3 linked regions of the Lepisosteus oculatus genome follow. The protein of the gene in region 3 interacts with the protein of the main gene of each other region in a pairwise test. Links are inferred from orthologs where the notes say so. Each region holds a gene or a part of one and is shown on either strand. Other genes may lie near its edges.

Region 1 (11,155 bases), on a different chromosome or scaffold from region 3:
ACGTGTAAAATCCAAATATCTCAGCTTCTCCTCTAACTGCTATCAGAATCAGAGCTGCCAGAAAAAAACAAACTTTCTAAAATCAAAAATGGTACTTTATGCCCTGGATAAAATTTAAAACTTCACTTCCTATAGTACCACAATTTCTAGGATCAACAGAAACATTCATCTAAAACCAACAGTTTACAGTACTCATAATAAGGCTATGTAATTGTTTTGCTCTTGAACAAACATGCTGATCAACACACCTTGACAAAGTTGTAAAACATGTTGACTCTTTCCTCCAGGGTCTTTTCCAAGTCGTCAGTGAGAGTCAGGTTCTTGGCATGCTCGCTGATCTCATCCATCCTGCGTCTCTGAGCTTCCTCTGTGGTCTCCTCACCCCAGTCATCGTCGTCATCTCCATCCTGTACAAGTGCAAAATTCAGTGAATGAAAGAGCTAGAAACTCACAAGACTTGATGCATGTTTTGACAGCTCATCAATTTGAATCCTGTAGACAGAACTACAGACATACTTTCACAAGTTTTTACAAGAAGACTATACAGTCAGAGTTGTACTTTCATAACTACACATTCAATTGGAAATACGTTGCTGGATGAAATCAAAAGACCGTAAATCCTTTGGGTTGGGTGAAGAAAAATGAAGGCCAAGCTCTATCTGAATGAATGGAATTTCAAGCAGCAGTTACCTTCCATTACACCTGGCTTCAATTTGTTTCTTCTAAAGCACTTTTTAAACTTACGAATAAGAACAGGACACAAAAGTCCAAGGCAGCAATTATGTACTTACTACGGCATCAGGTGCATCTATCTCATTATGATTCCCAGCTTCTCCACTGCTGGATCCATTTTCCTTGTCTTTACCTTTCCGATTCTTCTCCTTCTTCTCCTTTTTAGCGGATCCACTCTCATTCTCTGCATTTCAGAGGAAAAGTTATTACAATGAACACATCCAAACATACCATTAACAAATTATATCACTAAAATTAAGGCTACAGATTTTCAGATATTGATAAACTACAACTAAGAAATGGGTTTAAATCTGGCTGGTATCACAACCAGGAGTGTAAAAAGCATGCTGTTAATTTTTTTGCAAAAAGCTGCAGGAATCTGGGAAGCAACTATCTAGCCATGCTGACAAAGACAAGGTCAATGTTTCGGTCAAGAAACAGCAGGAAGATTCTGAGATCAATTATTAATAACCAAACATTCTAGATGCGCTGCATGACCTCCTTATTTGTAACCTCGCATGTTCTTAAAACATGGTAAATTCATACATCTATTGGTGGCCTGAACACCAAATGCAATCAAGAGCTAATGTAAATGTGTTTAAGCTACAAAAACCATTAAGTGGGTTGTCACTCACCTGGTGGGTTTTTAAGAATGAACGTGCAGAGTTTGTGTCGTGTGTCAAGCATGCCCCGGTAGCCACAGGCTTTGCAAGAGTTGCCAATGGTTTGTTTCTTAGGATTGACATGCTACCAAGGTAAAGAAGAAATCCCAAATTAAAAACATTCACAGAGGAATAATATACACATACAAGACAGCTAGTTACACATGTACCTTTGTTTAAGTCACAAAGCAGACAGTCATTTTGGTTTTAAACAAGTCATGCATTAGGTATTCAGCTTCCACAAAACACTTAAGCTAGGCCAACTGCTCCAAAGCACCAGTAAAGCATAACAAAAGACCAACCCTGACAGTTTTAAAATGCTTATGAAATATCAGGGGTAACATAGGAACTGAACTGAAGTAGCAAACTTAACTGCATTGTGCTCTACATCTTCCACAAAGGAGGTAAACAGAACTGCCCTAGATAGTCTAAGTCTGGGGAGCTCAACATAACTGCAATGCAGTAGGGTTATGCAAAAAAAAAAAAAAAAAGAGGCTAACTCTGCAGTGGAAAACGGATACTGCAGGTCTCAAATTCAGACACCAGGAGAGTGCTTCCATTACTACCAAATCTGCCCAGCCTAAACCCTGTATATTAAAGGCTACAGGTTTTGTGTGTATAGGAGGAAAGACAACAAAAGGACAGCGGCCTTGAATTCTGAAGAACTTTTAAACACTTCAATACAATTAGGAAACTGCAGTGGAGTTTACCCCTCTCCATAAGACAGTCAGTGGATTATAAGCAAAACCCCATTATTAGTTACAAGTCAAGGCAAATTTGGGCTTTGGCAACAGAAGGTCTTTCAAGATTTCACAAAAAAAAAAGAGGAAAAATGCACTTACCAGGTCAGTTTCCGGATTGTCACACTCTGGACACAGCACAAATTTTCGGATGAATCCATCCAGCATATCTTGCAGCTTATTCGCCTCATGAGATCCATTGACAATGTAGCGGTCATTCTTAGCATCAAACTGGGTCTGTGCTCCCAGCTCACAACCAAAAAACTTGGTGGGATCTAAAATGGAGTAAAACGTACAACTGAAGCAAGTGGAATGTAATGAAAGCAACCCAGCACTACCCCCCCTACCCCAAATGCTGCTTCTTTCCAATAGGAATCAACTTTAAATACTGTTTAACAGGCATTCAGATTACCATTACTAAGTTAACAAAAGTCAGTCAAAAATGCCCCTGCAAGGATACAAGGCTAGAACTTACACGTTGGAGGCCGATTAAGTGCCTTTGCAACGTCAACCATGTTGACTATAACCGTCTTAATTCCATTCCCTTTGCCTTCCACCTGTTTAGAGAAGGGAGACATTAAAAAAAGATTATTGACTGCAATTCACAAAAATAATCAATTCACACTTCTAAGACAGCTGTAAAATGTCAGTAGGATATAAAGTGCCTAAATGACAATCTACATTTTTAAAGTTGCTAGGATGGGAAACTGCTAGTTCCAAATCCCAACCACCTTAAAAATGCTAAAACTAAACTCAGCGGACACAGATGGTATGCAATAAAGTTCCCCCATCCAAAAGGATTATTTAACCAACTAAGTCACATGAGCAGGAAAGGCAGTTACTTAGCATTCCTCTATACAGTTGGTTAATTTAAGGAGCTATGAATCTGGCTTTAGTTCTGAAAGCCAGGAGTCTTCTACTGAGAACAAAACAACACTGCAGTCCTGAGTCATTCACAACACTAGAAGAAGCTGCCAAGCTCTCCCTCAGTCAAATGAGCCCACTGTGCCCCTCCTCACCTTGGCAATCAGACGGGGCATCTTGTAGCGATAGAACTGGTCTGAAACGCTGCGGTTGACGTTGACAGACATTTTGGCTCGCTATTAGCTTTATCAACAAGATAAGAAGATCTTGGATTGCAATTTTTTGGTATCTTCTGTCTGGAGAAGAGTGGATGACATAAACGACTGTAAGTGTACTCGGTCTCTGACATGAAAAAGTTTTCGCCACTGAGGCTGCAAGCTCCTTGCTTGTAGGCTAAGTTTCCCCCACACAGGTTCCAACAGCTGCGCAACAGCTCTGAAAAACAGAATAAAGACTCATTAGGGACAGCCCCACTCAAAAATAGGCTTAAACAGAAACACTGACTATACTATTTAAGAAAATGGCTTAAACAGAAACACTGACTGTACAACAAAAAAAAAAAACAATTTAATTCTGGGGTACAGCAACTTTAGCATGTAAATACATTTTGGTTGCAAGTCAGAACACCAGCAATGCACGACATGCACACGATATGAAAACTAAAACAAGCAAACCGAACTACATTGCCTCCCACGTGCTGCTAAATCCACTATCTCTGAAGGACACTGGCCAAGACATTTTAAAGATTAAAATGTCGGGGAGTTCACACCTCCCCAAACTTTAAAACGCCCCCCCCCTGCACCGCACGTCTCAACGCGTGCTCACCCAGTTTTGTCTTGTGTATCTTCCTGAAGTGTTTTTCCTACTGCATTTTAATTCCGTATCGATTTTGTGACTGCTTTGCAAGCCCCTCTGGGTAGGAGCTGCTGCTACTAAGCAAATAACAGGTGACGCTGTGAATCCATCTAACGTTTATCATGAATGTCTTTTTCGCCACAGAGGTCACAAACGTACTAGATTATATCAGCGTAAAACTGTAGAGCAAAACGGAAAACGTAACACGTCGATCTATACATTGATTTCATTATTTTAATACCGCAGCTCAAAGCAAGCGGAACGCCTTCAAATACAACGAATGAAAAATACTCCTGGGAGTGTAATGGTTTTGCGCAGCGAATACAATTTGTATTACTTTCTGAAAAGTAGGTCAAACCTTATCGTCCTTGAAGCGGTGGTATTTCCAAATGATGACTCATCATTGCAACCCAAAAGTTAAAAAGGGCGAAGCGAAACAGACAGCGACACAAACGGACAGAGAGGGGGGGCACGGTGACTTTTGAAACCGCACATCGCTTTATATCCGCGTCTCCAAGTTAAACGGCACAAAAAACGATTGGTAGCAGCGGTACAGGCTGCCGTTAATTAAAGAAGAAGAGGTTAGTCACAACAGGCCACCTAATTGTGCGAAATGGTGCAGAGTGCGTCACACTAATTTTATCACGGGGAGCACGGTGCAAGGGGGAGACGCCATTTTGATCCACATTTTGAACACACGCACGCCACATTTTCCAGCGCAACCACACCAAATACCGACCACGGGACGAAACCAGACGCACAACAACACACAGAAGGGTTAAAATAAACATGGAAAACGATACCTTTCCCATCCGTCGCTCCTGTCGTCCGGGTACTCACCGTTTTCGTAAAATAAAGACATAAACACACCGCTGGTCGCCCTGAGACGCAGTGAAGTGTTCGTGCTGGGAGCTGGGGGGGGTCGGCTGAGTACTGGAGAAAGCGAGGACGGCACGACGACGGTGCCGGTAATGGAGAGGCAAGAGTTTTCCGGTGCAGAGTAATAAAACCCTTCGGGGAAACACGAGACGCCCTCAAAAATGGGGTATCTGGAAACAATGGGCAGGGTGAGGGGGTTAGGAAAACAGATCGGCGTTAATTGTAGAGCGGATTCGATTACTTGCGTAACCACACGTTTCGATAGGCTACAAAAGACAAGCCTTCAAGCTTAAACAACGCTCCCTCATGAGGCGTAAATGGCAATTCGGCGATCCCCATAGAAGGTCTTATTACCCCCTTAATTTATTATTTGGCCTTATTCACACCAATTAGAGCGTCCTCTAACCCCTTCGCTCACTTACCTCTCTAGAACGTTCTCGCTCGAGCTGCGCGTCGCCAGAATGATATTCGGCCAGTAATGACGCTGTCAATCCAGCCATCGCGTCGACGCAACCCCGCCTCTCCTCGCCGGCGATTGGCCCGTCGGGGAAGAGCGGCGATATTATTGGTGGCGGTACCTGTCCATATCTTTCGCAACAGGGTTGGGGGGGGGGGTTCTCACGGCGCTCGTGAATCTTAACAGTCTCGCGATATTGTTTACGCCGCCGGTGGGATTTGGGCTGGTTTCCTGTTTTCTCGCGTTAATCTTCTAATTGTTTTTTTGGGGGGCCTTTTGTCACAATATGAGTATTACGATCACCACGCTAAATCCGCTTTTTTTTTCTCTAAATGTGGTATTTTTGTATGTAGTATCGCATGTCTTATTATACATGTTTTGCTTAGATGTGCGTAGCGGTTGTCATGTAGAGCAGTCACGAGACGAACTGGCAAACATTATTTTGTTAACTCGAGAAAACCAAAGGTCTGGGCAGCTGTCTTAATTCACGCATTAATACATTCATACGCTCAACAAATTCTGTACCGCTGAAGCTTTTTCAAAAAAACAAATACAAAACGATGGGTCAATTAAAACATGGATGACCCCAGCAGACGAGCTTGATGCCCTTCAGCAGTACCGTACTGATCTTTATGGAGGCTTGTTCCCAGTTGCGTTTAAAACCTAATCCAATTACAAGGGGCTGTGTATCGTTCATCTTGGGGAAAAAAAACAAAACCCCCTAGTTTACAAACTTAACGTATAGTTAGTTCTGAAATACATTTAACCCCCGGTTTAACGGACTTAATGTCAGACGACATTCTCTCAAGGGGAACTGGCTACAAAATCAGAAACACTGGACTCCCCCCACATTAACGATGAAATACACACCTCTTAAAGCAAAATGAAAACTACTACATAGGTTTAAAATTCAGGAATATCAATACTTTCATATAACGGTAGGTTAAGTGCTGCCTATGGGTGCTGTTTCTGTTTCGTACTCTTCAGCGGATTTTCTACAGTATATTTGCGATACATGAAATAAAGAGCTTGCTTATGATGAAAAAGGCACATGAATAATTTTCATTGACTGACTTGAAGTCGAAAGATCCAGAAAGAATACATATATATATATTATTCATGTAGTAGAGTGGTTGGGTTCATAAACGTCCTTCGTGATTTAACGGACGTTTCGACAATGACGGACACCCCTCCCGCATATTAGTCTTGAAAGAATCAGGGTATCGGCTTCATAGACATGGGTGGGTAGCTTGTTCCACACTCCTGCGACTCTGTGGGTAAAGAAGTGGCTCCCTGTTCTCAGTTTTTAATGCACTTCCAAGTCGTTTCCACTTCTGCCCTCCACTTCTGTTTCTCTGTTCGTTGTGAAAGTTTCGCTCATCAGTCCGGCGTGGGTGGCTGGAGGCTTGGGTGTGTGTGGGGCGTATCCTTGCCGACTGCATCTCATTGATTTGCATCTCATTGTGCTGTTTCACTGTCGCACAAGCCCCACAGGTGGCAGTCGCCGGGATACAGGTCCGAGAGCGGGCGGCTCTCCGGTGGCGCTGCGTTTTCAGTATAGACACCTGGGGCTTCCTACAACGGTCTGACGAGAAGACAGCCATGAAGAGCACACGAGTCTAGTCTCCCGTCTGATCAAGAGATGGTGCGTTTTGTGTTGTATGCGTGCGTTCACTTGTGTTGCTCTGTAAGGAAGAACCAAGAATGTTTCGTATTTCTAAAGGCGAAAAACACTTTTTCGCATTTAGTGAAACGCACCCCCTCTCCGGAGGGGAAGTGGCAATCCATATGCCACGTAAAGCATTCTTCAACTTAAAGGTCGAACAGCAGGCATGACACCATTTCCATACTTCCTGTCACAGTCCTCAACTGACATTACAGCCAGAACAACATCAGCTTGACTTTTGGAAGTAATTGCATAAACACCATACCCTCACACACTGGCCTTCATAACACATCTTTGCACTTGAAAGGCTCCAGCCAGCGTGACAGCACATCACTCCTTCCTGTCACAGGTTTCAACAGACTTCAAAGAACAAAATCAATACAAGATGCGACTTTTGTCACTAGACGTTAATTCGGTTAAGACTTTGTCCGCAGATCTGTGGGGAACAGTCAGCGGGGAGAGCGGGAGTATCACCCGCTGACACAGGTTTCTGTCATGAAATTGCCTTTGTCATGAAAAGCCAGGGAGAGTTTTGCTCAGCCTTATTTTATAGGCTTATATTCTTATTTAAAGGATGTGAGAGGACCCAGGCTGGTCATTGCCTCCTTCCAACACAAGATGGCAGTGTGTCGTGCTCAGCGCAGAACCTGTTGTCTTGGAAACAGGGCACTTGGTCATCTTTCCTGATTTCCAGGAGAAGTGACACAAGCAGGCCTGAACTGACAGACGTTATATTCCTGTATGACCGACTAATTAGGGAAACTCTCCTTTTTCTAGAAGAGGGGTAAATAGATCTTTGGGTGATTAAGGGAAATAATTGTAATTGCTAGAGAAGAAAGGGAAATTACGTAATAGTAAAAGTGAAGTCCCAGCCTCTTCTTAAAAGCTGTCTTTTCCATAGTCTGTTCATTGTGCCTGTGAATATCTGGTGAATCATTTCTTACTTATTTTGTTTACATTATTGTTCCTCCATTCTGCTGCGTGCTGAAGTAGTATGCTTGTATTTGTTTTGGGAACGCGTACAAGTTAATTCCACTCTAAAAAGTAAAAATCAGTGAAACACACATCAAGGTGTAGAAAGAAGAGAGGGAATAAGTATAATCCCACAGGGAGGGAAAGGTTTGAATCTCATGTCTAACAGCTGACCTTCTTACAGCTCATCGTTGGACCTTAGTTTTTTAAATGATAGTCCAGCCCTGTGTTAAGAATAATTGCTTAAGGAGAAGCAGGTTTGTGTTTCACAACTGAACGTCTAACAGTTTGGTATTACTCCACATTTGGTCATAATTGAAACTATGGGGAAATGCCCTTCACATGACAACTGGAGGCTCTTTTTTACCCAAAGAGTTGTGGAGGTATGGAACAAGTTCTCCAGCTTGTTGAAGACACTAACCTGGCTTCTTTCCAGAGGCAACTGGAGGCAATCCTTGTATCAATGAGCTGCTAGGTCACCTGAAGGGTCTCCTCTCGTTCGTAACCTTTGTTATGTTTTTAATACGAATGAAGTCGGAGCAGGGAAAAAAGAAACGATAAGAATGTCAGTGAAACGAGGGAGAGTGGGAGATCAATCCCAGTGGGTGGTGTGGTCAAGGCAGCACTTTGGAACTGAAAAGGTTATAATAGGATCTGGCCATCATTGAGATCTGTGGGGGTGGGAGTGACCAAATCTGAGGCCAAGGTGGGCCTCCGATGTCTTTGTCTGACCCCCTGTGGTGGGACACAAACAGATCGGCCAGCATGCGCTGGTCAAATTTTACAAACTAAACTGAAAGAGATTGGACTTGGCGTTGACATTATAGACATGTGGCAAAAATTGGTTAATGGGATTTTTTCATGAGAAATTCACACTGACCTAAAAAAAGCCTGTATTGGGTGATGATGATGTAACATTATACAGAAAGTATGGTGGACAAGGGCAAAGGTAATCAAATGAAATGTTTGTAAAACACATCCTCACGTGTCTGAGATATGAACTCATTTTGATATCAAAACCAGTATCTCATTGCCAAATAAGGTAACTGTGTAAATTAAATTGTAAGCAATTCTAAGGTAATAATTTTGCATGGTATTATCATCTGTATATATATATATAATTATTTCAATAAAGCTTCAATTACCTAACTGCTCTGATGTGCTCACCTCAGACAGCCTGTCTTTTGCCTGTTTCCCTTATGCAAGGAGCAAGGACACATTCAGTGAGAAATGCAATAAAAGTGATTGCTAAATAAACATAATCCTAACATGATCAAAGGGACAGGTGTTTGCTGCTGTTAAATTGCTGTTCAATCCAATACTTGACTAACTGGGTCAGCACTTGTAAAAACTTCAAATATTGGGACTGCCGACAGAATTGAGGTCAGCATGTGGCCTGAAAGCTCTAGGCATGTTATCAGCTGGTGAGACAATAGGGTTCTGGTAACTTTTTTTTGCAATGTTTCAGCAAAATGGAGAGCAATGCAACTCTGAATGGAAATGCAGTGGCTGGATTATTGGTGCAATTGTCTGTTTGCTGACAGTGGCAATGCACAAAGCTCCATGCAGGTGTGATGCCTGCAGCCTGGCGTGATGCTGTTCAGAAAAGCATCTGCTGCAATTCAATGGCATGTGCACAGGGCTCCTGAATGGCAGCCACCAAAGATTCCTTCTTTTGCATTGCGATAGAAAAGATTTCAGAGTTTCCCTAGGCAGTATGCACTCAAGAAATTGTAATTGTGTTTTGATTAGGCAGGAACGCATGAGCATTGATTAGTGCATTTCAAACCACAATAAAAGTAAGATAACTTTTACAGTAACTTGTAAAACCTCCACTTTACATCACAAAATAGATGAACAGGTATATGCAGCTCCATGTTGTGCATTCCAGAATGAGGCAACAAAATGTCTTCTAGACATCAATATATTTATTCTGTTACCGAAATTTAATATTATTATTAAATAATAATAATAAAAGGGAACTGCAGTTCCCTTTTAAATACTGTTTTAAATTAGCTGCATATATGTACTGTAGAGGCAGACTGCAGGTGCACTTTAAAGACAGAATAACTGGGGGATTTGAAGAACTGGTGTTTGTTTCCTAGTCTGCCTCTGCTGAGTGCACAAGGATCAGGTGGTATGTGTCCTGCCCATGCTTCAACTGGGCTTGGTAGGAAGGTCCCTTTTCAGGCCATAAAGCCCCATGGGGGAATGGGGGCCACCATTTCTCTCAACCATCCAACACTGGAGGTGAGGTGGTCAGCCTGTTACCCCCAGAAGGATTAACCCCAGTACTCACTTGGAAAGCAGGCTGAGTGGACCTGGGAGCCATCTGGATGGAATCAGAGCAAGCTCCTACCTGGGCTTGAACCCAGGACTTTCTAGTCAGCAGCTGGACTTCCTTGCCATCTGAGCCACCACAGTTCCGACTTGGCTGGGAGAACACTACAATTAGAGTGGACACTAAAGTGCACCTTGGCGATGTGGCAAGGCCAAACCTCACAGACTCAACCCTAGCCAAATGTCTCAATGTGCGTGTTTCCCATTTCAAGAGCCTTGAGGATTTAAGTGCTAGCCATTATCCTGGCCATTAACAGAAAACAACAGACAGCCTCGTGCTCCTTTTCTCAAGATTAAAAAGATTCAGTCCTAATTAGCCTGTCAAAGTGGAACATTCCTTTAATGCTCTGGTCAATCTTCTCTGTCAGCATGATCCTTTTTTTGTGACGTGGCGACCAAACCTTAACATAATATTTCAAATTAGCTATAGAATTTGTCATTTTAAGATAACATCCCTTTGTTTACATTTATTAACACTGTTTACAAGATGTTGCTTGCGTTCTGATGGTTTCCATACAGCTTATTTTAAACTAGTTATTATTTAGTGACTTCTTATGGTGATTCCCACTTTTCTTTTTGAAACACTTTTTTAGTTTCTAAATGAAACAGTTCCAGATTTTAAAAAAATTGCATTCCTTTGATACCTTTTTTATTGTTATTGTGACACCTCATCCTCTGGGTTGGGGTTTTTGATTGAATAAAGAAATACCAAAACAAAAACATCTGTTGCTTAATTACGGAGTTTCCAGATGGTAAAAAGGAAAGAGTGAGCTCATTACATTTTGTGGCGTTAGGTTAGGAGCAATGCATTTTTTCCTTGAAAGTTTTTTATTGCTCATGTTGGTTGCTAACCTGTATCCTAATCTGCGTCCCATTGCCTCCCTGAGTCTCCCACCCATTCAGGGAATTTCTAGGACTTCACTGCACTAGAAAATTATTGGCTCAGATCTTAGAAAGCTGATCTTGTGGGCTCAGTAAAAAGGGAAAA
Region 2 (10,578 bases), on a different chromosome or scaffold from region 3:
AGTCACCACTTTTAAATCCCGTCTTAAAACCTGCTGTTATTGTCTAGCTTTTAATTAATTTAGCGTACAATTATGTGCATAACTGTGTCGTCTGACACTTTTACAGTGCCTTCAGATGATGTACATTAAAAGGCATTATCTAAAACATTTCTCCATGAAAAAATAAATCTGTTTTTTTATAAATCAAAAGTAACCTCAGGGGATGATTGCTTTAACTCATATCAAGCACCATTACTGGCCTATTGGGTTAACATTTTGGAGAGCACTGCTCTGGACTGATTCATTTACTTGCAGTTTTATCACCATCAGCACTATGGGCCTTTACTTATTCACTGATGGGTATAGGCCACCCCAAGATTCATTCACAAAGAACCTGCTATCCTTGACTATTCACCAGAAACCTGATCCTTTAATTAGCTGTTTTATGCTGTCTCCCCCTCGGACGGACGTTTTGTCTTTTTCCTTCTGTCCTCCCACTGTGTGACAGACCAGTTTCACAGTTTACTTCCTAACCATGCCAATTCTTTTTCCTGCTCTGGCCTACTGCTTTCCTTCAGTCACTTCTCGTTACACAGCTAACCTGTTCCAATGCTTCACCTTCACCTTGCCACTCAAAAACCACCATTACTTGCAACTACGTTTTTGCCATTCTGATATACCATACTAACAGCTCCCAAACATGGGTACCTGCAGACACTTAACTGGAATCAATGTTTGTAAATATGGCAGTCAGGATACACATAACACCTCTGAGTTCTCACTTCTGACTTTTGCATGCGCTTCATGGTTTTCTGCTGCATTCTTTAGCTGCTCTTCAAACTGGACTGTATCTCCAGTTGGTAAACATAACTCAGATCCTCTGAAGCCACTGGACTGTAAATTGAGAAACAGGATGCAGTGAAATATTGTTGTCAGGCCTGGTACCTCAGAAAGCAACTCAGGGCAGATATTTAAACCTTTATGCTGTTAAAACTACAACAAACAAACCTACCTGGCATTCGCCTTAACCTCAGAGGTATAGCTGCAGAAGCTATATACTAACTGAGCACTGACATGCACAAAACAGTGATGAAAGCACTCCTGATATTTTCAAATTCCTACATTTTAGGGATGCGTTAGACAAACGGCAAAGCAATATATTCAAACTTGGTACTTGCATTCTATCCCATTACAGGAATTTAAATAACTTATAAATTGTGAACAAACGGATTGATCCCAATCGGTGATTAAGCCATGTGCCAAAGTCCACTTTGATAATTAAGGATCAGCTAGAGCAGTGGTTCTCAAACTTTTTGGATCAAGTACCACCCCTAATCCAACCAAAGCATCCAAGTACCACCTACAAGTCATCTTCTCATAGGAACCCCAGAAATTCTCAATAACCAACATGAGCGCGCGTGCACACACTCACACATACATATAATAAATATTGTAATAATAAACTTAATTTGACATAGCGCCTTTAAAGGTGGCTTCTCAAAGTGTTTTACAGAAAAAAAAACATTAACAACAACTAATAAAAAAGCACCATTTCAGTGAGAGGGGTGAGCCTGTTTAGTTGAGCAAAGAAGATGTGAATTAATTTTTCGAGCCTTGATACAATTCACAACAGAGTCTAACAGATATTAAATCGTCAGGCGGCAAAGGTGTCGCGGTGGATGTTGTAATGCGTACATTAATTTCTGGAGCAACCTATCTAATTCGTGCAACTACACCGTTATGTCTGCTTGTCATTGCTCTAGCAACGTCTGTACAAACTCAGACGCATTTTATCCAGTCAAGGCCATTCTTTTCGATAAATTAATTCAGAAGCTGAAATATGTGCTCTCCTGTAGTTCCTGTTGGTAGCGGTTTACAGAACAGAAAGTCTTCATGGGACATGCCCTCAAACTCGTATCTAACATAAACGAGCAAATTGGCCAAATCGACTAGACTCATCTAATTGCAGTGAAAAACATCTGCTCATCTTAACGTGCTCTATCAGTGTACTTTTGATATAATCCTTCATTTCAATAATTCTATGAATGACTGTGTCTTTCAGGGGGAGGGGGGCAGCAGGTCGCTGTTTAGCAGCTTTTTCTCTACACATAATACGTGTCAGCTCTTTTGCCAACGGTAAATAAGGTTCTTCAAAAATAGTGTAGCTTACCTGCTTTAGCAATCCGCAAGCTTGCATTTTTCCACGTTTCCGTTTTTATTTCCGTATTTATTTAAAGTTTTTATTTCATGTGCATGGGAGCGTAACACAGAGACGTTCGGTGTATTTTTCTCAAATTAGAACAGTTCTTAAATATTTTTCTGTTATCACGCTTTTGTGTGCTCACAAGATTACCTGCGTTCGTAGCACGTATTTCTATGCATTCCTGTGTTTACAACGTTAGCATTGTTCCAAAATCACACACATTCTCCTTCCTCCCTATTTGCTGGAGATACAGTAGCTTTTTTTAAATACAATTGGTCACTTGCATCCGTAGCACGCATTCCTATAGAGTGGTATAGAATTACAGAGTATCTCTTCTGTCCACTGAAGTATTAGCGCGCACTGTATCGTAGTACGTAGGCTGCGTATTCGACACGTATTAAAAATATGAAAACCCGTCCCGATTTTTCAGCGCACACGACACAGTTCCAGGGTCATTTGGCGTACCACTTGGCGGGTCTCCGCGTACCACTGCCGGTAAGCGTACCACAGTTTGAGAACCACTGAGCTAGAGCAAAGATTTCCAACAGAATGGAACGTGATAAGATTGACCAGCCCCAACGATATGTCAAGGAAACCTCGCAAAATAGATGAGCCTTCTTTTAGTTAAAGACAAAGGCAATAGAAAACACAATACACAAAACAGAGCCGAGACCAACACTGCAGCACCCTAACACAGCACCTAGTCCGATACAGACGGTTGCGCAAATACGATACTATGCAAGACTGGTTCTTAACTGCCGCATGAAAACTGTTTCAATGATAAACCTCTGCCTTACTACTGAGCTGTACAGTACGTTGAGCTAACACGGCAACATCTACCTTTATGCTATTAAAAATAAAGGGTAAAAATTCTATTTAAAAAAAAATCTTCAAAATCGGTAACAACCATTTTACCTGCAGATTAAATGAGACGTCATTTAGAAATTGCATACATCAATATTAAGGGCTGTAGAGAATTAAATACATTTTAAACTCCCGGGACATGGTCTCTGTATAGTTAATGTTAAGGAAGTCAATAGTTAATGTTGCTGAAACGAAGGTATAACAACCAGATTAACAAACTTTATTTATCACTACTAACTGATTAGATATTGAAAACAGGCTCGCCTGTTAAATTAGTTCAAGTTTACTGTCACTATACTCATATACAGGTATATGGTATAACGAAATGCTATTTAGCTAGCTCTCAGACGATGAGTAGTACAGGAAAACAACAATGCAACTGTATAATAAAAGAAAGACAGAGACAACAGGCAGTGCGCAAAACAACAAAAGGTAACAGGTAATGTGCAAAACAACATCAGATGTGCAAAAACATGCATCAACAGAATGAAATAAAGGATAGAGAATTATGGAGAGTAAGCTTTTTGACATGTGAGGTAGAGGTAGATTTCAGTGTGTGTTTGAGTTTTGGGTAAGAAAGGAGGCACTGTGAGGTTCAGACGAGAGAGGCTGGGGGTTTAATAGTGTGATGATGGTGCGGGGGTGAGGGCGGCGCCCACGCGCTCTTAAATTAAGTTACTAAAATAAGTTAACAAAACAAGAAAGCAACGGATACGCGCGAGTTTACAGTTGCTAACCCTAAATGGGACTACAAATGGTAAAAGCATGTACACCACAGAGGAAGAATACCGTGAGATCAAAATCTGTGAGACTGGATTTCAGTTCAAGATCGTTGGAAAGCAAAGACCGCCTTTAAATTGAAAAGTAAATGTCAACCAGTCGCAACACGACACCACACAGTAAACACAGCTGCGCGAAATCAAATATTCGCTATATTTAATCTTCTTTAACAAATTAACCACTACAATAATAATACTATCAACTATGAATCATTGTGCATCACGGATCCTAAAAGGCGTAGTAACCATGAGCTCATCTGCCGAGATGGAAGACTCGCTCGCTTTTTCATGCCACCTCGCAATAGCTGCCTACACTAAAGTTGTTCGGACTCTTGTTTATTTACATAATAGCTCTTCGTACAACCAAGTATATTCGTCTGATACCATTTCAACCCCTTGGATGCAATGCTCGATATATAATACAAGTGCATTGTTACAATGTAATCACCGATGGTGTCTTGGACAAGACTTTGCCTGTGTCAAAGCACAATAAAACTGTGCAAAACTACGATACCTCTTACACAACCCACGGGCCTAGTTCCCACAGACGCTGGACACACACACACCGATCCGAACCGGTGCACTTTCCCGAAGGACATAAGCTATTTCATATGGCTTAAGAGCTCGGCGCTTATTGGTCTGAATTTAGATCCCCGCAATTTTAACATTCAAGTAAAAGAACCTACCCGTTTTCCTCTGCAGAAAAAAGACGCTGTACAAACCGTACTATTCATGTCAACGCGGTTATCTTTGAACTCAAACTCTCGTTTTTCCCAAGGTGGCCCAGCAGTACAACTATCGCGAGACAAGGGTTTGTGTACTTGTAACCATGGTGACCCGAGCACTGTCGCTCCCGTTCTGCCGAAAATGTTCTGTATATTTGAATAATATACATCGATAAAAAAAAACATTCGTACTGAGACGAGAACAGCTGGTAGTCAATTTGTTCTTTTTGAGTTCTTAACCTTCGTAACCTGAGAGAACATATGTGAGAACGAGTGAACATTACTAATGTTCGCGGGATAAATTACATTTAAGCACTTCCAGGCTTACTTATCGATAATAGTAATCAATTATAACAAACGATATCTTAGAGGACTATAAACTAAGATATCAAAATGTTCTACACTGATTATACACAATGCTGATTCTAGAACAAGCTTTTTAAACTTCTGTTTTTAGTAGGCTATATAAAAAGACAGGGGTAGATATCACACTCTATTGTATAATTATATACCATGTTTACAGTCCAACTATAGTCTTATAGTCTGAAGTCTTATCGGCCCTCTGTTTTAATTTGGTTGGGTTGCTAGGGGGTAGTGAGGAACATCAGTTCTCCTATCAGTATCTTTGGCACCAGGATAAAGACTGAAATGAAGAAGGGATGAGGTTTGAGGTAATAAGAACATAGTGCCTTTTGCTGTGGATACGAGGAGTTAACGTGAAGGTCCCCAGTATTCAGAAAATGTCTTCATCCCTGTGGAGGTAATTAACTATGCAGCTACACTACCAACCCCTCCAGCAGGTGGCCTCACAATATCTCTGTTGTAGTGCTGAGGGTTGTAAAAGACGACCTTAGTGACTCCATTACATGCAACTAAATGGGGTCAAAAACTATTCTTGAGCTGTTTCACAAAACAAATACAGTCTGGGGAAATATGCTTCCTTTTTTAAATGTCGCACCAATCAGCTATTTTTATGTTTTTTACAGACCATCAATAAAAAACAAAATGTCTCAAAAGGTTTCTCTGTATGACATTACACCCATGTAGGTCTCAAGATATTAGGACAGCCCTCTTAAATGAAAAGGGGAGTGAAGTTTGAGGTTATGAGTGTTTATTTGAGGGTCTACTCTCTGATCTGGAGAAGGGTATACCATGAACAAGCGGATAAGATGCCGAAAACTGGAGACCAGGAACTGTAAAATGCACAATGCCAGCTTTCATGGCATTTATTATTGCTTTCCCATTGTGGTGCATTCTGATTTGATTTGATCAGTTAATTGAATGATTGATAAACAGGTCACTGCAGTGATGTGTTTTCACTATACTTTTACTTACCTTTTTAAATCATTTTGGCTTCTTGGTTTTTGCTCCTAGCTGGATTCATATTCAAATCCTCCATATCTTATTACTTTCAGTACCCATTATATATTATTTTCTGGTGGTTTTAAGTTATGTAGAGATGTAGTCTTGACATTTATTAAAAATAACTAAAATTAGTTAAATCATTTAATTAATTTGAAAGCCATTGAGACTTTCAAGTACTGCTATGGTGATCCTTTTTATGTGGGCAGGGGAACAGAACAATTAAAATGGTTACTGGGAATAAAGACTCTACTAGAAGGTACTTGGCATGCGTTTGCTTTATATTAAAAGCATGGAATGGAAATTGAATAGAGACTGTCAGGTCCCAAAGCAGTCATAATGTTGGCAGAACTAAGAGCCAAGTCTCCATCAGCCAAGTGGCAGAAATGCCTATATATTACTCAGATGCCAGGGAGTTTATTACAAGGCTTATTGTAGTTCAGCTTGATTTGTCATTAGTACAAGAAATAATAATCCCACAATTCCCTGTAGGACAGCAACAGGATTGGTTGATCAGAGCAACACCAAAGGGAGAGGGACTAGAAGGGAGAAGACAGATGGTGCTCACCATAACCATCCTGTAAATACACAGGAGGTCATTAGCTTGGATTTGACTACAGAGCCCACTAAGGGAGCCATCTGATGATCTCCTTGTAATATCTTAAGCTAAAGCAAATAGGGAGGTGGAAAAGACACAGATGCACACAGGAACCCCGCACAGAGCATAAACAGGGAAAAAAATAGGCAGATAAACCAACTCATGAATGTGAAGATCCATATGTTTGAGAATAAATATATTTTTTTCCTCTGTGAAATAAAGTGCATTACATATTTTCTTGTTCTTTTTACATTCTTCTTAAACCTGTTTTAATCCATCATTATAACTAGGCCCAGGTTTGGTTTTGGAAGGGTTAAATATCACACTTCATCATCATTCCTAATGGTCTCACTATTCTAGAACTGCATCTAGAACATAAAGGCTACCAATGAGAGGAAGCCAGTCCACCCATTTGCTCATTTGATTCTTAGTAGTTTGATCCATCTATCTATTGTCAGTCAGCTTTTTTAAAATTGAGAAACCTGTTCATGAGCTTATCTCAAAAGGCCTCCTTCTATGACTTGACAGCTCCTATCATCATCAATTACTCCCTTCATGCTACAGATCTTTCCGACAGACTAAAGCATTCAACCTGGCAAAATTATTCAGCCAAAGGTGCCCCAGTTCCAGGTACAGTTGCGAATAACCTTGCATTTAAGAACATGATGTTCTATGAAAATAATCCATGTTAAACACACATTTTCAATAACAATCTGCTGCTCTGCTTGAGGTAAGGAAGGCCTTCTTTTTATTCCCCTCCAGCTATCACCATCTTTCTCCATGTGAGAGATAAAGTCACGCAGTGGAATTACAGAATTGGTAATTCCAAACCCGCCAAACCTCCAATACTCTGAACTGATGTTGGGCACATATAGGCACAAATAAGTCAGGTCTTTCCCCTCTGAGACACAGAGACACTCTTGTGCACAGGGACAAACTCAGCACCCAGTCATGGGTATGTGACTGACAACCCCTCACACCTTCGCAGGCCCACTCCAGAGCAGCAAACAGACCACCCTCAATTAAGAAGGTGAGACAAGTATCTCCTTGGCACCTTCCCAACTCCTCCACCAAGTCTGATTCCTTCCTCACCACAGGAGTGACACCCCAGGTTCCAATAGTCAGTTGCATTTACCAGTGCCCATTCTGTTGGGATTCTTCACCCTCACTCTTTGCTTTGTGGATGTTGGGCCTAAATGTTGTCTCTGTTTTGTGCTGTACCCTGAAATGCTGCATGTGCATGCAATGTGGCCTGGTCATCAGGCGCTCGTAGGTAACGAGCACAGGGGTGGGTCCTGACATCTACGATGCAGGTGAGGATCTTTATTAGATCAGCTGTTTATTTGAATGGTGAAGGTCTCAGATGTTTTTGCTAAGTGATAAGCTTCAAGGATCACTAGCCATAACCAGGGGGTTCACACAAGCCACTCCACCATTTCAAGGTAACAGTCCATGGGGGGTTGTGGTCTAATGTTTAAAGAATGTTGTCTATTCCTTTCTTAAAGGATCCCAGGAATCAGCTTCCATCACATCACTTGGGAGAGCGCTGTTTACATCAGCAAGCTGCTAAAAGGAAAACAGCCAGTGACTCAGCCGGGAAAGATCCCTTCCAGCATATGATGAACCATCATAATCATGTGACCTTCAAACAACATTGCTAACTCTATTAATCATTTTGGAAATTCCAGAACAAAGAAGCGGACGGGAAAGATTGCTGATGACCCCTTCCTAAGCAGGTTTCATTAACCTGTTCCATAAACTTCCTCAGGGAGACGCTATTAAAATCTGAACAACCCGGTATTTGAACAGTTTCTTTCCTGGGGCTGTTTTTTTATTTAGCCAGGATTCCTAATGAAATGTGCACTGTCTTAATAAAGCCTATTGTCTTGTGTCTGTGTTGTAATGTTGTGTAGAACAGGACCCTATGCAGACGGTATAATCTGGAAGTGAGTGGAGTAGAACAACGGGGAAGAGACGAGGATCAGGAGGGGTTGACAAACAGCGGGGCATGACGACAGTGAACTGGTGCTCGGGGGGCGTGGCCATGGCAAACAAGTCCAAGGGAGTCCGGGGGGGAATCTGGGGTGAAGTCCAAAAGTCCTAAACCGGGTAATCCAAACAAGACGAAGACAAGACACAGTTAAAAACCGGAAGGGACGGGGAATAAAAGCAGGATCACTTGGCCATGCGCTCTGAACCCCGGCCTATGCCCTCAAGCTGCGGACATAGGGCGACTTGGTGGTAGGCGGGCCTCTGGGCGCCCGTCTTCCAATGCAGAGCCGGGAGTAGCAAGAACGCCCGCCTTAAATAAGGTGGGGCAGGATTGAGGGCAGGTGCACGGAATCAGCCAAAATGTGGAAAGAGCCTGAGCACCCTTAAGAGGAGGGATTACGATCATGATATGTGTGCTATATGTAGAATGTTTTTGCTGCATCAAGTCCACCAGAGTAAATTCCTTGTACCTGAAAAGAACTTGACAAATGAAGGCGTTTCTGATTCTGATCGGTTCTGCAGCTGGATGTCTGAGCCATCACACCACACAGATCAGGTTACCCAAGCATCTCACCCTTCTACCACCTTTTATCTACACGAGAGGTACTGTAGATGTACAGTACTGGCTTCCTTTAGTTAAGTACAGTGGATGACTTTTCTTATTTGTTGAGCAACGGTGGAGCGATTTATTATTCATCATTACTGTACTAAAAAAGTAACCACAATTTTGTCAGACAGCCTCCTTTCTGGAGTGAAGACTTAGGATGGGGGGGGGGGATTTTTTCAATATTGTACTGTTTAAAAATATCAGCCCATAAGCTATTCTGAAACCCCAGACACTGAAAATATACTGCACTTTTTTTTTTCAAAAACCATAGCTCATGTGGTTCATTGTGGTCTGAATAACAGTTTGCATAAACAAGGTAAGGCTTTCAGCTGCGTGACAGATTTTACAAAGATACCAATATGTGAAACTTGCTTTAGCATAAACCTCAAGCACAGGTGTTAGGTTTCTGTAAACATGGGAAGAAAAGCTAAAAAAAAATATGTAAACAAAACAAAATCTCTTAAGATGCACTGGAAGTCCATTTAAAAAAAACACAACAGCCATCATTACTTACATTCCTGTAGGTGAGTGAAAGCTACTTCAGAATTTTAATCATCTAAGAAAATCAGATATAAGGTCAGTTGTGAAAATTAACCCTGCTCCAATTATCGTTTCATTGGTAAAACAGCTTAAGACACAGAATAAATTAGTGTAGAACGGGGAACCACAGAAATGTGGAACATAAAATCAATTAAAAAATGAAATAGGTAATAGGAAACATAGTGAAGCACAAAAGCAACTGAATGCTGAGCTACAAGAACAGTGAATACCTTTTTTGAGTAGGTATTCAGACTAGCTTTTTAATGCTGTTGGGTATGGAAAGCAAGCTGGTGTTTCTCTGGGTATAGATCTGGGATGACTGCTAAGGTTTAGTTAGCTATGCCAATTGATCTGCTTTTCGAATAATATCAGAGAAACCCTACAGTAACCTGTGTCCCATCCGATAAGCAGCGAATCATCAATGATCAAGAGCAAGAGAAAAAAAAAGACGATCCCATCACCACGACAGGTCACGTCATGAGTGACACTGCGGACTACTGCATACAGTGTGTTTTACCCCATACCTCTGCTGAGATGTGAAGATGACTCCACCAGACGCACCACATTCAACAGTCTCTTGCCAGTCTTTGAAAAAATGCCATTGAGCATTAGGAGTGATGAATAATCCCTGTAACATACACATGAAGGCTGTAGTTACAAAGACTGACAGGAGTCGGTTCAATGAGGACCTAAATTATGGGACAAAAGACCTTAACGTTTTAAATAAAAGAATAAAAAAAACATCATATGCAGGAATGTTTTATTTACACTGTTATACTTTCCAAACTTCTTCTGATCCTCTAGAGGCCTTACGATGTGAAATGCCCATTACATGGGTACATAGGTCATATTAGTAAAGCATTCTCACATACATTTACATTTAAAAAGCTACAAATGATTTCTGGGGTTGGCACAATTCATACTGTATG
Region 3 (11,539 bases):
GTCTTTCCTGTAGAGCTACACACTTCCCTTGCTTTTGAAAGTCACCAACAGGAAACTTTGGCGGGGTTCCTCATCAATTATATTGCATAAGAACAACTTTCTGTGTGCTTTCAGGAAGAGTATGAAGTTCAAACAACCACACAGGAAAGAGAAGCAATAAACAGTATAAACTTTGTAAATCTTATTTTTCTAATTTAATTTCAAAAACCTCTTGAGCTCAATGTACTTCCTAGCTGTAAATGCTTCGATACTGAAATCAAAGGACTCCTTTATTGCAAAGAAAATCCCATGGCTCCAATTCGGTTTTACATTTGTCTATATCTTACTATACCTGGAAATACAATGCATTTTATGAAGTAATGGTATTGAAAGATTCATGTTGTTGTTTTTCTTAGACGAGAACATGAAAACAAGATTTTGTTCTACAAAGAAACTGAAGTTAATGGGTATGACACCAACATGAAATAGAGTTTACACTGAAAACTATATAATATGTAATGCAAGGCTTACCTTGTAAGAAAAATGTAAAAAAATCAATTAACTATATGAACACAGAAGTTGTGTGTTGGTTCCACTGTGGTAAACTTTTCACATAAAGAAGTGTGTGTGTTTAAACCCAGCATTCATATGCGTTCTGTTTGGGAAAATCCCATACATCTCTACACTCTTTCTTGAAGACTTTTCTTTCTATTTCATGAAAACCATAAGGTGATTACCATGACACACTGTCCTTTAGAATCCAAAGAATGATTATGAACTTTTCTGAAGAACAAACAGAAACAAATGTGTTGTGAAGGCATTCAATCTTTGTGATAAAAGCTGTTTATTTGTCACCTAGACGAATAAAAAGGTGTCACACACCTCACACACAATTTTTTGTTCATTAATCAATCTCTTATTGTCTTTTATTACAAATGAACAAAAGCATGAATGGTTTTATAAAAAATTATGAATATGACTGCATTTTCCAGACATTCACTCTCATCGGATAATTATTTGCATTAGAATCAGAATTAACACAGATATTTAAGGTTCAACACTGATGCTTGTTCCTTTTCTTTATGAAAGGAGAAGCCCCATTTCGTGCCTGCACATACACAAAAACCTTGGCAAGTCCAGTTTTGGAGATCTGTAATCAGTACTACAGTGAAAGATGACAGGCTTTATAGAGAATGACAAAAGAAATGAAATTGAAATAAACCTTGGAGCCTTGTGCCCCCTGGACAACAACATTTTTTTACTGCAGCAGGTTTTCTTATTCTTCCACTGATGAAAGATTTTCTTTTCTGTCTGCCTTTACAAAATGTTAAGGTAAAAATAAAGACGTAACAACTGAGGCATGAACATTTTTCATCTTTTGTTTTCATGATTGATGACCCATAAGATTGATGATACTTAAAATTGTTGTTTAGGGTCTCATCACAGCCACAATCCAGCAGGATGCACTTATCATTTTGGCCTGTTTAGGACTTGATAAAGCATGATGTGCCTAACTAATGAATGCTTGACAGATGGAGAAAATGCTTTCTTAGCAGAGCCAAAATCATTCTGTCTTAGATTAGACAAAAAGGCTGTGTTCCCTTTGATTTGCCTCGGCATTATAAACAAACGTTACCACTGCAACTAATTGGTATGTTGGGGTTGGACATTAAGAATAAACAATGAAGATAATATTATTATAGCGTTTGCCATATCAGTATGTGTTTTATCAGTAGTTTCACACAACTGTTTTCTTTCTGTTATGAATTGTGCAAGTTATTCAAAATATAGTTACAATTTACTGTTTTAAAGAATTGTTGTAGAAATATGCTGGTTTTAAGTCCTAGTCAATAATTAGAAGGCAGTAATAAAATATCATGGAAGATGAAATTTTATTCAGATTCAATTTATATAGATAACAATGGCATCCAAGTCTGCTGTTGGTAATTTTCCACAGCGGGTGACAAGTCCAAGTGTTTTATAAGATCCTTTTTTTTTTTGCTGAAGCTAACATGGAAAATTGAAATACTAAGTTCCTATATTTCCCAACAGATTGTCTCCTCCTAGCATTTTCTCTTCAAATTTCAAACTACTTCAGCAGGAAAAAATGGTAAAATTAATAATAATAATTGCTTACATTTATATAGCGCTTTTCTGGACACTCCACTCAAAGCGCTTTACAGGCAATGGGGGCTCCCCTCCACCACCACCAATGTGCAGCATCCACCTGGAATGAACCTGCAATGAAAAAATGATTTATATAAAAGACTGTTACATTTGAACTCCATGTGTTATAGGAAATCAAGTTCTATTATAAATGCAAAGTAATAAAGTCAGTGTGTTAATAACTAAGAAGAGATGTAACAGAAAAAAAAGTGCAACAGAATATCTCAAAACCGTGTCCAAAGGGAGGTTTTGGGATGAAATAATTAAATGTTTTTTAAGCACCAAAAAACAGAAGAGATCTATGCAATTACACCTCCTGAAGAACAGCACATATTACTCCATGAAGAATCCAAGACAGGTTTACTTGTGAAAATCCTATAAAGTGCAAGCTCTGCTACTGTTTGTGCCCATCGACAGGTGGTTCAGGTTTGTAGTGTGGGATGAGGGATTAGTACAGAGGTCATTGTTTGGCTGGATAGTGTTGTGAATACAAAAGGGTTACCACAGGAGGTCTGGATCGTTGACTATGCTGTGGGGGGAGGGTCTTTGAGATTTTAGGTGATGACGGAAAGCAGGAGGGTGTGGTGAACCCGGTATATTGAATTATCTAGGCCAATTGTTACAGTCAAATAGTGATATTATTGTCATTTTTTCTCACCATCACTTTATTGTCCTGAGGTTTTCAAAACAAGGAGTGAGGTGCTGATATTGAGTCATTAACTTTCCATAAAATACCCCTTTGTCTGATTCATGGCTGCTAGGCTGTATAGCACCAGGTCAGAAAAAAACCCCAAGACATTGCATTAAGTGACAGAAATATATTAAAGATTTTTTTTATTTCTTCATATAAAAGGTAAAATCTACATGCACCTCCAGTACAGTACTTGTATTGCAAAATGCACACAAGAACAGGACAATAAGGTTTATTCTCTTGAAATCACAGCGCAAACACCTATTTATATTATTTTCTTTAAATTATTTTTTCAAGTGTATTTTTTCATCAATTTTATTTTTAGGCATATTGCTTTCTAAAACTAATGCTAAGAGCTGGTAGGTTTGTCTGAGCTTACAGAAGTCTTGTGGAATATACTGTTTAATCTTCCAAACCAAAAGGAAGACTTTTGTATTATTTTATTCAAATTTCTACAATAGGTCGCAATACCTATATATATTTCAGTACAGGTTTGATATGAAAGGTTTCCTTTCCAGAAGCACCTAATTTAGTGAATCTACTTATCAGTATTTGCACGCAGATACAACAGATTAACCGTAAAGAGTACAGATAATACATAATTCGTCTAAACGACAACTACATAACAGAACCTTACGCTAACTTACACAGACAAAAAAAGCCGATTAGAGTAAAATATAACAAGGGTTATGTCCCAAACCATGTGCCTCCATTAGAGAGATAAAAGAAGAGATTGATAAATTGCCATTTAGTCCTTTTCTTTGACTTTCATGAATTTACATTATCTAATGGGGGCAGAAATGAAAAGCCCTGATTAGTGTGGAATGAGTTGGAAAAAAAGCTATTTGTCTTTGTTAGCATCCTCCTGTGTTCTTTTATGACCCGTTTTTACAAGGGTGGGAGCCGAAATGCCTTTCCCATTAGATTGAAGAGCAAGGAGGCTGAGTGGTCATCCCGAACACTAAACGGAGTGTCTCCAGAAACAGAGTTCAAGATTGTGAATGCTGGTGACTCCTGTGTAACCTTCTGAGGTACTGAGAGCTCACCCTTAAATGACCCCTAACTCTGAGGAAAGATCTGGGTGCTTCCAAGGGGTCTCCAGACCAACAATGAGAACTTCAGTGTTTAAATAAATTGACCAGTTCTCCCTCAAACCCTTCATCTTTAAACACGAATAGCGACTGTATTACAAAAATACGGTTACAATGTTGGTAAACATATTCCATTCTTTGTTTGCAATTTTGTTACAAGATCCTAATTGTAAACAAACTACTTTTACTGATATTTTGGGAATATCTCAAATAATATTACTTTGTTGTTAAAGTCAATGTGGTATCTTAATTAGCAAAGGACAGAAACATTAGAAACACATAAATGACTTTTTTTAATTTTTACCTAAAAGTTGCGTTGTTAAATGATTTTTTTTTTCATTGCATGGTAATTAAAACTGTAAAATGTTGGACGTGCGAATAAAGCCTTACTTTACTGCTACTATAATGGAATATGACCGTAGGATTTTAAAAGCGTCAAATTAGACTTTTTAATTAAGCGCTTTTCACGAATACTTGGCAGCCTGATTGCCAAGATTCCTGAATTTCAAAGTAGCTGTTACTAAAACACAGCCTTTTCAAAGCAGCATTACCCTATACACGTTCATTTCGTCAATTTCAAACAATATTATTTCCTCGATAAAATGACGGGGGGCTGAGTTTAAGTGTGTTGATACTGTAACAAGTATGAGCTTAATTATGTTTTACTGTAATATCAGTAAACAAGAACTAAAACTCTGGGTGTTTTTGATGATAATGAAATGTTTAGACAACAAAATCCAACAATGTTATTTATTTTAAACGTAAAACATAACACCGTTAGATATAAAAACGCGTTTTGTGGTTTAAAGGAGGAGAGAGCGCGCTTGGGTTAGCCGACGTTCACCACTCGGGATGGAAAATTTTCCGTCTTTCTTTTCACGAAATGTCCTTTCCCAGAAAATCTGAAAATGTCCAAAATAAATACAAGAGCTGTCCGGGGATGCGACCGCTCTTCAACCGGGCGGTTACACGGAAACCCTGATCTGATGATAACAGCGAGTGATGCGGTCGTTGGGATTATCCCAGTTTTCGCCACCCCCTTAGCGGGGCCCCTCTGTGTGCCAGTCCTGCTGCAGCAGCAGTGAGAGTTCAGTCGGGTTGGGGAGAGGAATTCAGAGGGAGATGCTGCTGTCTGTGACGGGCGCAGCTACAACAACCCTAAGGAAACCACCCCGCAAATAAACTCATCTCGCAATGGATAATAATGACGCTTTTCTGCACCTCAGTAAGTGGCCTTTCCGCCTCGAACATTTCACCGTCGTCGGTTCCTTGTGCAGTGTTATTTAGTTTTCCCGTCCGTGTGCCATGCTTGCGATGTACTGCACGGCGTGCTTCCCCTGCCTTTTCCAATTGCAGGGTCTGGCAAACTGAATTCCATCAGCGGACTTTAGACGGGATATAAATCCAATGGCCGTGTTATCTGTTTAGCTAGCACTTGTCTTGCAGTAATGTTTATTGACAAGAAGGCTGTGCCAGTGTAGAAAGTCAGGTGATAGCAATTCTCCCTCTCTCAGACAGGGTCAGGGGTTAGCAGTTTAATTACTCTTATGTAATATATGGCCTTTCTAGCGCGTCTCCTACTAAACTGTTTGCAGCTGAATGGCTATTTATTAGTCTGCAATGGTACGGAAGACGTCAAGTACTTGTAAGAGGAGCTGGGACTTTTTGCCACTTTGCAGAAAAGTTCAACTGGCCAACCTAACTAAATGGGACTTGATGTACAGTGCTGGACAGTTTTTAGAAAAGACGTCTTAATGGGCACAGTACAACTGCCTTAAATACATTAGTTTTTTTTTTTTTCAAAGTACAGATATAACGCATATTTGTTAAGGAGTCCACATGCGTGTGTAGCTTAATACCAGATTTCTTGGGACAGATCTATGTAGTCGCACGTCTGAATGTTTTGCAATTTTGATGCTATAATTTGCCCGTTACAGACATTGATACACAACACCGTGCTAAGGCTTGATATTAAACAAATAGACAGGGAATGGAACATTATTTTTCAACACGATGGCTTGAACCTGAGAAAAAGCGGACAAACCTGAATATTTCGTTTCTTGTTCCATCTATGGAAAAGATGTAAGGACACAGCGCCTGCATGTGGTTTTTCCATAGGTTTTTGCGCTGTTTCCGTGAATTGCAGTCAACGAAAGTTGATTTTTATGAAAGATCTTAAGTGAATACAGAAACAAAATCTGTATGGCTTTTTCTATATACGTCTGAATTCAGTACTGAGTACTGAGTGACTGCTGCCTAAGAATTGTTAGGGAGGTCATCCACGATATAACCTATATAACCTGAAGGTGCCAAATAAATGTGTGGAAAGATAAAGATGTTTCTCGTTATTTGGCAGCTGTGGTTAAGATAGATTTATGGCTAAAGTCTTGTCATGTTGATTTATCTTTAAAAATAGTTTATTTGTCAACAACTGCTTTTAATACAGTTAAAGCAAGGATTTGTGAAGCTCTGTTTTAAAATACTAATTTAAAGATTTTAAAAAGTGATAGTAAAATTGGGAAACATAACTGTATAGCTGAATACTGTTTCAATGTCACCTTAAATTTGTCCTTTAATACACATTTTGTTCTGGGTAAAGGCTTCAGCAAAATTAATATTTAGGCCTACAGTTGTTGCTGCTGCATAGTGTTGTGTAGGGCAGAGAAAACTGTTGTGTGGAATGTATTTGTGTTAACCTGAGATTTGTTTGATACTGTGGACTTTGACATCCAGTGTCAATAATTTCCTTGTTTGAAGATCTGAGAGCTCTTGCTGCTCCACAGTATGACAGAGTACAGTGGATTTGTTGTTTTAAACCTTGGTCTCTGATTATACTCACTGATATGATCTAAAGTTGTTGCTTCTGATTGGATAGCCGTGTTACTCTAGTGTTCTCTAAAGCATCAAGTAACGCTTTTCAGGCAAGAAATTGCGTGTTTATAACATCTGTGAAAGTTAGGAGTCATAACAATATTAATATTAGTGTTGTATTTTTTGAGCTGTAGATGTCAAAGACTATTTTGTGGAATTTCACATTTAACATTCACGGGAATGACTGGATATGTGGCTGTGTCCTACAAACCAGGATAAGTGGACTGACGATGGATGGTGGATATCTTGGACAACTTTGGGAATATTTTAAATATTACTATAATGTGCTATCTTCAGTATTGAATCACTAAAAAAATATTGCTTTACACTATTACAACAGTGCATGATTGCAAGCTGACTAGTTTCAGAGTGTGTTGCATTCTGTTGGTTAAACATGCAGTGTCATCTGTCCTTGGGAGAAATTGCTTAATGTGAAAGTTACATACAGACGCACTTAAACTAAATCAGCCTTCCCAGTGACCACTGGTATGAGATCAGTAAATATTTTACTGTCTGGTAAGCATGTCAGAGGTCATAATGAATTATAATAGCATCTTGAAAAATAAATTGTCTACTAAATAAATTAAAAACTGTTATACCGCATTTGCTGAGATAATTATACAAAATGATGTTATAAGATGTTATACAAAATGTGAGTGAATCCTTCTATGTGTTAAATGTACCTCTAAAATTACACAGCTTAAATGAAATGCAGAAAGTCACCAAATTCATTGCACTCCAGGAAATTACTTTAAAATTTATTTTAATTTATTTTCTAACATTATTGCTGTGGAAGAGAGTGTATTTATTTCATCAAATACTCCATAAGAAATTGGAACGAGGATTGTTTATTGCTCTCAGCTAAGCTATGTTTTATCTTTTGCATTACGGAATCTACACAGGGACAGCATTTGTGGATTTTCATGAACTAGGTTGCAAGAAAACAGGATCTAAGGATCCTTCTGTGTTGCTGACCACTGAGATTAAAAAAAAAAGGGTTGTAGTTCATTTTCACAGCATCCATTAACAACTCGTCTTGTAATATACTTCTTCCTCTCCCCTCAATTCTTTGTAAATGGGATACTTTTGATTTCTATTATAAGGTTTCAAAATGTCTCCGTAACATGGTTGTTCTGTCTTGCAGTCCGTAATGTTCTCTAATGTCACAGTCTGCCTCAAGGCTTGCTGATACCAATGAATTAATTGAATTATATTCAATTCATTATGTACCGAGTACGATAATCTTCTGGTTCACTGTGTTTTGTTTCATGTCCAAAGGTGTAATACTGCTTATTAAGACCTTTTTCTAGTTTCAGAAACATGGAAGGAAATTGGGATTGTGTTTTAAAATAAAAGTTTAGTAGTAAAGCTTGTATGTGACTGATCATATATAGGTCATAGCCTGAAAAAATAAGAAGTTCTGATTCTGAAACCTACAGTCTTATAAACCAAACAGTTTGGTTATAATGAAGTCAAGCTCTTTTCAGAGGATAGTCAGTTCACTGGTATTATCTAATAGTATCAAAACTAACAAACCCTGTATGTGATTTAAGGCCAGCTGGTCAGACACATTTATGTTATGTTCCTTGTTATTGTGCAAGCTTAATTACTGTTGTGTAGATATAAAATACTGTATGGTGATGAAGTAATGCTATAAAAAGTGCAAAATGAAAATGTAGTTATTTTTCATGATGTGGAAATTGAAATGTAATTGGTCTGGATAGTATGTACTTTTGTTTATCCTCCTTATATTAAACTTGATACAGTATCCTTTATTCCATGAAGAAAAAAATACTGTAAATCTAAAATTTAAAATCAAATTGCTTGATTGGAATTTTTGTTTTCACATGCCTCAATTTGTGTTTGGGTTACCACATTTGCTGATATTTTTCTGGAAATTAATATTTGTGTTTCTTGCATCTGGATTAAATTCAAGATTTGACCATATTCAGAATGTGTCTCTCGATGGCCACCTATTGTTTGCTAGATACCCAAAGAAAAGCCCCTATCAAGTATTACTTTTTCAATTTGTAATTGGCAGTAGGTTGGATGTTCTGATTGAATTTGAGCCCTAGTTGAATTTCTATTACTTTAATCTTCTAGTGGGTCTCTGAAAGCCGAAATGATTCACAGCCTTCTTGCTACTTTGAGATGTAATCTTGAAATGCTTTCAAAGACAAACGCTATTGTCTTTGAAACATGAACCCATGTACCGCTAACATTTATTTAATTATGTGCTTTAATAGGAGGTACAAAGCCCATGTTGTCTCTTTACGTATGCAAATGCCATTTTTATCAGCAGATGTTGTAAAGGGACTCTAGGAGAGGGATTGATTTGGTGGCTCACCTGTAATGCACTTTGAAAGCATAATGTGATCTGTTTTGTTCCCAGCCTGGCTATTGTGAGTTATGATTTCAATGGATTTAAAGTGACTCAGATTCATAGAGAAAAGCAAATGTTTTACTTACTAAAAATCAAGCAAGCCTGAGGAAGATTAAATCTAGAAAGCAATATTAAGATTTAATATTACTCTAAATTGATGTGACCAATTGGGTGCTCTTAATGTAAAGTCTTTTTTATCTCTACACATTATGTTTATCTTTATGATCTTGAGGCATCAACTTAATTCATAAATGTGATTTTTGAATTAACATGGTAATACAGGATGTCAACACGGCACACAATATACTTTACTGTATATACATTTAGCAGCCATTATTTGCATTACAGCAAAAGCAGTACCATAACCTGGAAGTGGTTAAGTGGTTTCTGCTTAAATTGCTTTGTATAAATCTGTTTGGAAGGAGGTTTGTATTGGTTAAACATCTATTTTTTTTTGGCAGTGGACACTTACTGATATTTTATCGCTTTAAAACGTAACTCCCAAAACTGGAGAACTCTTACAGTTAGGTATACTGGGGCCTTTTTAGCTACTGCAGTTGAATTTGTCTGTTATTTTTAATTTGTGTTATTTCTCTCAGTGCAGAAGAAGATAGAAATGGAAATAAAGAATCTATTAGATAACATTCAGCATGCACTGATATGCAGCGCAACTGTGACAATTACCAAATGTGCAACGACTCTGTCTTCTAATGAGCATGTTATGTGCCCTAGTTACAGCATTCGTAGTTACAGAGCTACTGGGGACATTCAGAAAGAAGCAACACTTTCAGTTGCTTACTTCTGATTATGACTTAAGAAAAAAGAACTTACTGTATACCTTGAAAACAAAGAAGACCATGAATTTTAATGTTACTCCATAAGCAAATTAAATGTTAGCTACAGAGGTTATTTGCTCACATTTTTAATATCATTAGACACCCAGGTTTTACTGTGGCAGCCAAATGTCAGCCAAATCAGATAATACTCCTGCGTTCTGCAACTCTTAAATCGTTGGAAGAACTGTAGGCTGATTTAGCTCCTGAAAAACATGCTGCTAAAACAACAGGTGTTCCTGAGCAGATAGTTGTACTGACGCTGTGAGCCTGATGAAAAATAATCTGATCTGCAGCAATAAACGGTTCTTCTTGGACTGATCTGAAGATAATCTTTCTAATCCAGCACCGGGCACAGTCTTTTGTTTTTTGCATCTTCGCTCCTGTTTAGCCACTTGTCGTGTCGGGTTTCACAGCTCTGTTGTCTGCTGTATGTGCTGGAAATGATTTAGTTTATCTCACTATGTGGCACCCACTACATTCAACTCCTTTTGAAAATGTTACTGGATCTTCTGGCTACCCGCACTGTAAGTATCCTAGATTCAGAGAATGGCATGTTTTTTTTTTATTGAAATTAAAAGGTAATATTCATATTTTCAGTTCCTATGTGTGTTCACTTTTGTGTTCGGATAGGAACTTTTAAGTATCATCTTGTAAATTTTCTGTCTTGTCATAGTGTCGGGCTGACGATAAGCTGTTTTTTTGTAGCAGCTGGCCATGCTTGGTTCATCCTAGAGTGTTCAACCACAGCTCCTGTGAAATTAGTACTTTTCTTTGTTCACTCTAGTTGGGATCAGGCTATTTTTAAAGCTTCGTGTGCTCAAATTACTCATGAATATTTCTTAATTCTTTTCAAACAGGTAGATTAAGTCTGTCTCACAAATACATGTGACATTCAACTGTCAATATATTTTTTGTGATAAAAGAAAAGCCACTTACAGCTGAATCAGTTTTATCATGACATTTGAGATTGAACTAAAATGACCTAATCTATCAGTGTATATTATATTATTTGTGTGGGACATAAATTCGTATTGTGAAGACCTGTAAACTTAAGACAGTTTTTTTTTTTATTTCAAAATGAAAGAAAAACTAGATCTTGTGCATAAGATGACATTTGTAGTCACAGTGAATGATTAGATAAACAGCTGAGTGAGACAGATTGAGAAAAAGAACCATGCCACATTCCTTGCTTGTATTTTCTTAGTTTTATATTAACTGTATTTTAAATTGAGAAAATAAATAAAACCCTTTATCATTAACATTATGTTAAATTCAATTATCACATTTCAAGCCCATGCTTTTTAGTCTAATAAGTCCACGCATATTCAAGATGTCTTTGTTTTAGGAAGCAGAGATAAAATTTAAAGAATTAGGCAGAAAATATTTAACGAACCTGGTAAGTATTTGAATTAATCAAAACATTGTTAGATTGGCATATCTGGAATCTGGCAGCCTGAAAACCCTCCAGTCTCTGTGTCATTTTATACTTTTCTGCTCACTTTTGGTTAATCATTAGATAATC

Evidence for each region.
Region 1: the proteins of dusp12 (region 3) and eif5 interact in binary tests that used the Homo sapiens proteins (3 or more experiments, as listed by UniProt). The two-hybrid records come from large-scale screens. The link is inferred for Lepisosteus oculatus from reciprocal best matches to the Homo sapiens genes DUSP12 and EIF5.
Region 2: the proteins of dusp12 (region 3) and ppp2r3b interact in binary tests that used the Homo sapiens proteins (3 or more experiments, as listed by UniProt). The two-hybrid records come from large-scale screens. The link is inferred for Lepisosteus oculatus from reciprocal best matches to the Homo sapiens genes DUSP12 and PPP2R3B.

What each region holds. Positions count from the first base shown.
Region 1 is NC_090703.1:6,762,933-6,774,087, reverse strand, and holds the start of eif5 (eukaryotic translation initiation factor 5), read right to left. Parts: upstream 5,256-11,155; 5' UTR 5,155-5,255; intron 4,903-5,154; 5' UTR 4,694-4,902; exon of another isoform or gene 4,657-4,693; intron 4,517-4,656; exon of another isoform or gene 4,212-4,516; intron 3,434-4,211; 5' UTR 3,226-3,433; coding exon 3,154-3,225; intron 2,692-3,153; coding exon 2,610-2,691; intron 2,410-2,609; coding exon 2,237-2,409; intron 1,480-2,236; coding exon 1,368-1,479; intron 917-1,367; coding exon 792-916; intron 408-791; coding exon 249-407; intron 1-248.
Region 2 is NC_090710.1:4,467,998-4,478,575, forward strand, and holds the start of ppp2r3b (serine/threonine-protein phosphatase 2A regulatory subunit B'' subunit beta), read right to left. Parts: upstream 4,604-10,578; 5' UTR 4,512-4,603; intron 1-4,511. UniProt on the Homo sapiens protein: The B regulatory subunit might modulate substrate selectivity and catalytic activity, and might also direct the localization of the catalytic enzyme to a particular subcellular compartment.
Region 3 is NC_090704.1:8,624,847-8,636,385, reverse strand, and holds the start of dusp12 (dual specificity protein phosphatase 12), read right to left. Parts: upstream 5,356-11,539; 5' UTR 5,153-5,355; coding exon of another isoform or gene 5,122-5,152; exon of another isoform or gene 4,826-5,121; intron 2,218-4,825; 5' UTR 2,117-2,217; intron 1-2,116. UniProt on the Homo sapiens protein: Dual specificity phosphatase; can dephosphorylate both phosphotyrosine and phosphoserine or phosphothreonine residues. Can dephosphorylate glucokinase (in vitro).